Arabidopsis thaliana: one gene and its partner. The protein of the gene in region 1 interacts with the protein of each later gene in a pairwise test. Each region holds a gene or a part of one and is shown in the gene's direction. Other genes may lie near its edges.

The links.
Region 2: the proteins of AT1G62085 (region 1) and GATA6 interact in a two-hybrid assay, tested with the Arabidopsis thaliana proteins (one large-scale study listed by BioGRID).

The regions. Positions count from the first base shown.
Region 1 is NC_003070.9:22,947,319-22,952,522, reverse strand, and holds AT1G62085 (Mitochondrial transcription termination factor family protein), read left to right. Parts: upstream 1-2,078; 5' UTR 2,079-2,380; coding exon 2,381-3,766; 3' UTR 3,767-4,205; intron 4,206-4,483; 3' UTR 4,484-4,680; downstream 4,681-5,204.
Region 2 is NC_003074.8:18,971,530-18,975,644, forward strand, and holds GATA6 (GATA transcription factor 6), read left to right. Parts: upstream 1-1,596; 5' UTR 1,597-1,811; intron 1,812-2,103; 5' UTR 2,104-2,109; coding exon 2,110-2,367; intron 2,368-2,458; coding exon 2,459-3,139; 3' UTR 3,140-3,363; downstream 3,364-4,115. Other genes in the region: AT3G51070 (S-adenosyl-L-methionine-dependent methyltransferases superfamily protein), read left to right, coding at 1-195, 278-472, 555-762. UniProt on the Arabidopsis thaliana protein: Transcriptional activator that specifically binds 5'-GATA-3' or 5'-GAT-3' motifs within gene promoters. May be involved in the regulation of some light-responsive genes.

The DNA.
Region 1 (5,204 bases):
CATATCCTGCTAATCTTGACATAATTCGTCTCTTTGATAACAGAGACTTAAGCAATAATAGTTTAAGTGGTCCGATTCCACAAGCTCTTCTTGATAGACGAAAGGAAGGATTGGATTTAAAGTAAACTTTCCTCTTGTAATTTCCTGCTGGCTCTTATCCAACTACTCTTTGTGTTATAAGTAATTGTAGAAATGTCTGTTGTTTTGTAGGTTTCATGGAAACACAAAACTTTATGAGTTTATTTCACACAGGAAAAAGAATTTTCCATTAGTAGCAGTTGTTGCCTCAGCTTCTGCCATCGCCATTGTCCTGGTTGTTCTTGGTGTCCTTTTCATCTGCCTTCGAAGAAAGCCACCAAGTAGAGAGGGTATTGTATTTGCAGCAAACTCATCAATCTAGATATTTGATTAAGTACCATAAAAAACTATCGAGTTATTACATAGATTTTGTTGAATTCTTGCTTGCAGCTCCACACTCATCAATCGAAACAGTAAAGAGAAGATTTACTTATTCAGAGGTTATGGCAATGACAAATAATTTCAAGAAAATTATTGGTGAAGGAGGGTTTGGAATCATCTATCACGGTCATCTGAACGATGGCCAGCAAGTAGCTGTTAAAGTACTATCTGAATCATCATCCCAAGGATACAAGCAGTTCAAGGCTGAGGTACTGTATGTTTAATATATCATCCTCACAAATATATCTTTTAAAATCATGCTTCAACGGGCTAAGATGTTTTTGCATATGGTCAAAATCGCTTCCTAGGTTGAACTTTTAATGAGAGTTCATCATGTAAACCTGGTAAACCTTGCTGGATATTGTGATGACAGCAACCACTTAGCACTGATCTATGAGTTCATGGAGAATAGAGACTTAAAAGAGCATCTCTCAGGTAAACATAAATCCACACCACCTAACTTAATGATTTGAGTATTATGTTGTTTCGATGTCAATAACATATCTTGGTTAATACAGGAAAAGAAGGCTCCTCATTCTTGGACTGGCCATGTAGACTAAAAATAGCTGCAGAAGCTGCACTTGGTTTGTGTTTTGTCATAATCCATCTTCAAAGATCACTCTATATACAGTTGTGTTCATATTCCCTTCGAATTTCCATCAACTTTTTAACTTGTTAATCATATCACTTTGTAGGATTGGAATACTTGCACACAGGATGCAAACCACCGATGATTCATAGAGATGTTAAAAGCACAAATATATTGTTGAATGAAGACTTTCAGGCAAAACTCGGTGATTTTGGACTTTCGAGATCTTTCCCTATCGGGGGTGAAACTCATGTGTCGACAGTTGTTGTCGGAACTCATGGATTTCTCGATCCTGAGTAAGCATTGTTATAGCTTTATGTCACCAGCTTCTAATTCTTGTTATCTTCCTTCTTTAGTTATCACAAAACTCCTACAAACCATCCTTTTGCAGATATTACCAAACACAGCGGTTGTCCGAGAAGAGTGATGTCTACAGTTTCGGTATTGTCTTACTAGAAATCATCACAAACAAACTTGTGATTGATCAAACTCGTGAAAGGCCTCATATAGCAGAATGGGTGAGGTATATGCTTTCAATAGGTGATATCGAAAGTGTAATGGATCCAAACCTTAAGGGGAAATATGACTCTAGCTCTGCCTGGAAAGTTCTTGAACTAGCGATGTTGTGTTCGAAACTTTCTTTAGCAGAAAGACCAAACATGGCTCAAATTGTTCATGAACTAAATGAGTATCTATTGTACGAGAACTCAAGAAGAGAAATCAGTCAAGATGTGAGGTCAAAAAATTCCAGTGAAGTGAGCACAAACACCGAAATGGCTCCTATGGCACGTTAGATCAGGAGTCTTGTCAAGTGTTTTGTAGAATGGCAAAACGACTACCTTCACCTGAGGTTGTGTCATAAATCAGAAGTCTTGTCAAGGATCTTACCTTTTATGTATGAATCTCGGAAAGCCCGATTTTTACTTTTGTAATTTGACGACATGTTTCTTTTTGTGTGCAGTTCCGACTTGGAAAATAACTATATTTTCAATTTCAATCTCTTTTCCGAAACCTTGAACTCTGTCAGTGAGTCCGATATGTTACTTTTGATGTTATTTGTATTTTATATTCAAAAATATTTTCAAATCATTAACGAAGAATCATAAACCCTAAAAATCATACCTTTTTTTTTACTCCTCATTCCCCAATTTAGGGTCGGTCTGTGTGATTTTGGATTTCATGAGATTTTGATAGTCGACCACCCGTCGATCTTTGGCGGCACTCGATCTATGGTTCACTGTAACTTTTGAATTTTGAGACTAATCTTCGTAGCCTGGTCGATCCATTTTCACGAACTGAAGAATCAGATAGATTGCTTCTGAGCCTCCCGTCATGTATTCTCTGATACTCCATGGAAAAAGGTTGGTCCAGTTGAAGAAATGTCGTCATTTAAGCGTTCCAGTGAACCTCCTCGAAAAGGCATCTCCTTTTTCCAATTCCTTCTCCTATGCTAATGCTACAGATGCGAGCCTTAGAGCTGGTCGAAAAGGGTTGAGTTTTTCTGTCTCTTACCTCGTTGATTCATTGGGTTTACCTAAAAAGGTCGCAGAATCGATCTCAAAGAAAGTCAGCTTCGAGGACAAAGGCAATCCTGATTCTGTTCTGAGTCTATTGAGAAGTCATGGGTTCACTGATTCTCAGATCTCAAGCATCATTACGGATTATCCACAATTGCTAGTAGCTGATGCTGAGAAATCAATTGGTCCCAAGCTTCAGTTTCTGCAGTCCAGAGGAGCTTCAAGGTCTGAGCTCACTCATATTGTATCTACAGTTCCTGAAATCTTGGGGAAGAGAGGGGACAAAACTATCAGCATATACTATGATTTTGTTAAAGAGATTATAGAAGCGGATAAGAGTTCCAAGTTCGAAAAGTTATGTCATTCTTTGCCAGAGGGTAGTAAGCAGGAGAACAAAATCAGAAATGTTTTGGTTTTGAGAGAATTGGGTGTTCCTCAAAGGTTGTTGTTCCCATTGCTTATATCTGATCACCAACCTGTCTGTGGAAAAGAAAATTTTGAAGAATCACTCAAGAAAGTTGTTGAGATGGGTTTTGATCCAACCACCTCAAAGTTTGTCAAAGCTCTTAGGGTTGTTTACAGATTCCGCGACAAAACTATAGAAGCAAAAGTTAATGTCTGTAAAAGTTTAGGCTTTTCTGTTGGAGATGTATGGGCAATGTTTAAGAAGTGTCCTTCCTTTCTGAATTTCTCTGAGAACAAGATAGTTCAAACTTGGGAAACCCTGAAGAAGTGTGGACTACTCGAAGACGATGTCCTCTCAGTGTTGAAGAAGTTTCCACAATGCATTAATGCTTCAGAGCAGAAGATAATGAACTCCATTGAAACATTTCTAGGCTTAGGATTTAGCAGAGATGAGGTTGCAATGATAGCCAAGCGCTTTCCTCAATGCCTTATTTTATCTGCAGAGACAGTGAAGAAAAAGACTGAGTTTCTGGTGAAGAAGATGAATTGGCCACTAAAGGCTGTGGTTTCAACCCCTGCGGTACTTGGATACAGCTTAGAGAAGAGGACTATCCCAAGGTGTAATGTAATTAAAGCTCTCATGTCCAAAGGATCGCTTGGAAGTGAACTCCCTGGAATGTCGTCTGTTTTGGTATGTACCAATGAAGAATTCTTATGCAGGTATGTGAAGAACCATGATGACAAGAAGATAGTACCTGAGTTGATGGCTATTTTCACCGGAGATCGCGTTTCATAGATCAGAAGTCTTGTCAAGGATTTTGCTTTTATTTTTGAATTTCTGAAACCTTGATTTTAGACTTCAAAAGCTATCCAACTTGGAAATGTAACTTTTAATGTAATGTTGAATCTTTTATGATATATTACCAAGATTGGTAGCTTAGAAACGGCAATGCAGCCAATTAGTAGACATGTGAATCCAAACTATGTGTTTGCTGACTTTAGTTTTCTAAATAATTTTTCTTCTCACTTTTTGCTGACCTTGTTCGTCTTGACTCTTGAATTTTTACTGACCTTGTTCAGGAGCTGCATTGCACACAAGGTTTCTTGACTGTCTCTATACGTCTTGAGTTTGGATCATGTATTGTCTTATTTCTGTATCATGGTTTTTTGAACTGCAGATATGGATTGAAATTTGGAATGATGCAATGCAGCTCCTGAGCTCTTGGATTGGTCATGTAAGCCTTTTTTGTTTCTTTATTAGTGTTTGGTATTTGGTCTTACTGGGAGGCTTTAATTTCACTACAATTCATAGTTTTGGGAATAGAGCCAACTTCTCTTATGATACTTTAAAATCTTGCTACGGTGAGATTCTTTTGCAAGTGATTTGCTTCGTCTCTGTCATAAGTTTTTGGATCATATGATTCCACATTGCTCGTTTTTGTCATATTGGTAATATTGGTCTTTACTTGATTGGATATCACTGAGACACTTAAATGCTATCTGATATCATTAGGACTCTGGAATATAGCTATCATAGTGGAAACCGAAGAAGCTTGAGACCTTTTTTAATCTTGTTGAGCTGCTAAGAGAGTCGTTTCAAGTTCAATACTTTACTCTGAAAACCTTTTATACCAAGGTGTAACGTACTCAAAGCTCTCTTGTGGAAAGGACTGCTCAGAAAGAGAAGTGAGCTACCTGCAGTGTCCTCTGTTTTGTCGATGAAGGATTTTTAGATTGGTATGTGATGAAGTACAACGAGCTGATGCCTGCGTTGATGGCTATCTTCACCAAAAGTCGTGTTTGTTATGAAGCACAACGAGCTGGTGCCTACGTTGATGGCTATATTCACCAAAGGTCGTGTTTCATAGATCAGAAGGCACACCTACAACAATGAGCAGTGCCAAGGTTTGTTCTTATTTTGTTGTTGTCAGTTTTAGATTTCTAGATGAATCTTATGATGTGATAATGGAAAAACGAAAGAAAAGCTTTTGTTAAAGTATCTATGAGTGATATCATGATATGTCAAAAATGTTGCATGGATACATTGATTCTTTAGTACTTGTTACGAGCTGCTAAGAGAGTCGTGTCAAGTTCAATACTTTTCCTTGTCATTTAACATAATTGCTTGTCTGTTTGGATTCTATTGTGCGGAAGTTATGATTTATATTTTCAGATTCATATTTTCAATTAGGAAGCTTTAGTTGGAATCAAAGTGGATGACCCTGATTGAGGAT
Region 2 (4,115 bases), on another chromosome or scaffold:
GCCCCGTCGGCTTCAAACACCGCCTTACTGGTTAAACAGCTCTCAAATGGGGATATATGGGAAACCAGCTCCTCGAGATTTCACTACAGATTATGAACACTGGAAACATGTTGTAAGCAAAGTATACATGAATGAAATAGGAATCAGCTGGTCAAATGTGAGGAATGTAATGGACATGCGAGCTGTCTACGGAGGGTGAGCATCAACGAAAACAAATCAAACTAAAATCTCACTTACCAAAACTAAACCTTTTTTTACTAACTACGTAAAAATGCAGGTTTGCAGCAGCTCTGAAGGACCTACAGGTGTGGGTAATGAATGTAGTAAACATAAATTCACCAGATACACTACCGATAATCTACGAGAGAGGCCTATTCGGAATATATCATGACTGGTGTGAATCATTTAGCACATACCCTCGAAGCTATGATCTCTTACATGCAGATCATCTTTTCTCAAAGTTGAGAACAAGGTATAAGCGTAACTCATAATATCCACACCTTTTGGTAACGTTTCATCAACAATAAGTCTCTTGTTTTGTTTTGTTTTGAAAGGTGCAATCTTGTTCCAGTAATGGCAGAAGTGGATAGAATAGTAAGACCAGGAGGTAAACTAATAGTTCGTGACGAATCAAATGTGATAAGAGAAGTTGAGAACATGTTGAAGTCACTGCACTGGGATGTTCACTTAACTTTCTCCAAACACCAAGAAGGAATCTTAAGTGCACAAAAAGGATTCTGGAGACCAGAAACTTCTCAATGAAAGACGCTCTGAGAATCTGCATTTGAAAGTAGCAGAAGCATCATTATAATACAACACACTACTCATATCTATAATCCCCAAAAGAATTTGTCAGTATAAGAAATAGCTTTAGTCTTCTTAAACTATATAGACTAATTAGAACATTTTTGTTTTCCTTACTTCATATTGCTTTTTTTAACATGGTTATGATATTCTCTTGTAAGGCTATGAATCATTTCACTGGGAAAAGTAAGGCACACCAATAAATGAAATTTTGTTCCAACAAGTAGAAACATAGCAGTAATGAAGAAGAGATTATGATGCTTTAGCGATACCACAAGCCAAATTCACCATAAGCTATTGACAGGTAGCGAAAAGTCAAATTACAAAAGGAATAAAGTAGACATGAAATGAAACCAACAATCTTAAGCCCACATATGAATTCAAAAGAGAGGTTAAGAAAGAAGAGAATCTGACATCATGGGCAGAGTAGGAGCTGAAGAAGATGGGTTTCTGCAAATTTGAAGCTTTTAATCGCATATCGCTGAGTAATCATCACAAACAGTTTTGAATTGAAGAAGACGGGAGGAGAAAAGCCATTGTTAATGAGATACCCAAATCGTAAAATTTCAGAAAGCCCAGCCCAACATAGCCCAATACAGCCCAAATATGTATGTGATTGGGTAACGAAAACGAGACCGTTCTTTTTTCAGTCATCTCTCGTTTCACAGTAGCGCGTATGTACGCTTTGAATTTACAAAAAGTAGACATTTTTATGAATTTTTGCCGGTTGAGTAAAAAGGTAAAAAAAAATAGTTCCCACCAAAGCAAAATATTTCAATTTTTATCTTTTTTTTTTGGTTCTTGGGAAAATAAGAGATTGAGAAAGAATAAAGAAGAGAAACTCACAACTTTTTTAGTTTTAGGAGAAGAGGGCTTTGGTCTGGAGTCACTATCATATTCAATGCTTTACCAAACTCACCTCTTCTTCTAAATTCTCACCACTCTTCTTCTTCTTCTCATTCACCGACATATCTCCTCTCTTCACTCTCTGTCTCTTCTCATCTCAGGTAATTCCAATTTTAGTTTTTTTTGAAGGTTACTTACTCGTCACATTGTTTGAAAAAGATTGAATTTTTATCTGTGGCTTAGTCAAATCATGGTTCGTTTCACCAAGTTGTGGTTCTGGGTTTTCGTGATTTTTCTTTTGGGTTTTTCTGTTTGAATTTGGAAAAATAAAGGAACGTTTTTTTTTTCGGGGGGAGTTTTTTTTTTAAAGATAATTTTTGGAGAGTTTTTGATAATTCTGAGGAAGCCAAAAGAAAAGAAGAAAACCTAATTTGTGTTGGTGGGGTTTGATAGGAAATAATGGAGAGTGTTGAATTGACGTTGAAGAACAGTAACATGAAAGACAAAACCCTAACCGGCGGCGCTCAAAATGGCGATGATTTCTCCGTCGACGACTTGCTTGACTTCTCAAAAGAAGAAGAAGACGACGACGTTTTGGTTGAGGATGAGGCTGAATTGAAAGTACAACGAAAAAGAGGAGTCTCTGACGAAAATACCCTTCACCGGAGCAACGATTTCTCCACCGCTGATTTCCACACTAGCGGGCTTTCCGTTCCGGTATGAATTTGTGTTTTCATTTTCGCAAAATTTATAAAAATTATCAGTCATTGCATTGTTAATTTCTTGCTTTTCATGTTTTGATTGTTAGATGGATGATATAGCGGAACTTGAATGGTTATCAAATTTCGTAGATGATTCTTCTTTCACGCCGTATTCTGCTCCGACGAATAAACCGGTTTGGTTAACCGGAAATCGGAGACATCTTGTACAACCGGTTAAAGAGGAGACCTGCTTCAAATCCCAACATCCGGCCGTCAAAACCAGACCCAAACGAGCCAGAACCGGAGTCAGAGTCTGGTCTCATGGTTCGCAGTCGTTAACCGACTCATCTTCAAGCTCTACAACATCTTCGTCGTCCTCTCCTCGTCCTTCAAGCCCTCTATGGCTCGCCAGCGGTCAGTTTCTTGATGAGCCAATGACTAAAACACAAAAGAAGAAGAAAGTTTGGAAAAACGCTGGTCAGACGCAAACGCAAACGCAGACGCAGACGCGGCAGTGTGGTCATTGTGGAGTTCAGAAAACGCCGCAGTGGAGAGCAGGACCATTAGGAGCGAAGACGTTGTGTAATGCGTGTGGTGTGCGTTACAAATCGGGTCGGTTACTACCCGAATATAGACCCGCTTGTAGCCCAACATTTTCGAGTGAGCTTCACTCAAACCACCACAGTAAAGTCATTGAGATGCGTAGGAAGAAAGAGACTTCTGACGGTGCTGAAGAAACCGGTTTGAACCAGCCGGTTCAGACGGTTCAGGTTGTCTCGAGTTTTTGAAGAAATTGTGGAAGGTTTTTAAAGGAGCAGAATTAGGATCCGACCCGGTTCAGATTTATCACCAGTTAGTATGTTAACGGGTTATGTATGTTTTAAATTACAAATTTGATTTTTTGTTTGTTAGTCGTAGTAGGTTTTTAGATTTAGTAACTGGTTAAAACTTTTAAAACTCTTACTATTATATTTGTTTTGTTTCGCATTAATTTTCAGAATTCTTTTTTTCTTAACCTCCTCTAACGTTATATTTACGTTATAATATATAGTTTTTATATTAATTGATAGAGATGGTTCATTTTCTAGTTAGAATGTATGCTCAATAATTATTGGTAGACTGATAGTTATCAAGTGTATAAAATATGAGATCAATTTATACCAAATTAGGAGTAGGCTTTATTTCAGGGTTAGTAACTCCAATTTTTTGTTGTTACTTATTTATATCCATCACATTTTCTCTTGTATTTCTAAAATTGACATAATATAACTGAAAAAAAAAACAAATTTCACAAATAAAAATATATACAATAACTGAAAAAAGAAAAATAAACGTACTGGGCACACTCTCTTATTGACTAATTTATTACTCTGCGTATTTTTGGAGATTGAATACGACCTTAGTTGACGTGATAATATTATCCATTTTTGCAATGTGATAATATTCGTTGACCATATCTTTGAGATTATCACGAATTACCAATTTACCTTGGGACTTTATTCCTCGTATGGTTTTAGTTGAGTTGACTATTAATAATAGCTTTTAGTACGTGTTTCGTAAATGCTGCATAATATGTAACTAACTAAACAATTCGAATATATATATACTAGTTTTAACATTCGTCTCACACGCTTAGCTTTCTCCTTCACAACGATGAAAACGTCTCCTGATTTCAAAAGTGAGATCATACTCTTTTTTAATTTGCTAATTTTTTAATAACAAATCATATGTTTTTCTTTTGGCTATATTTAAGGGAAAATTACA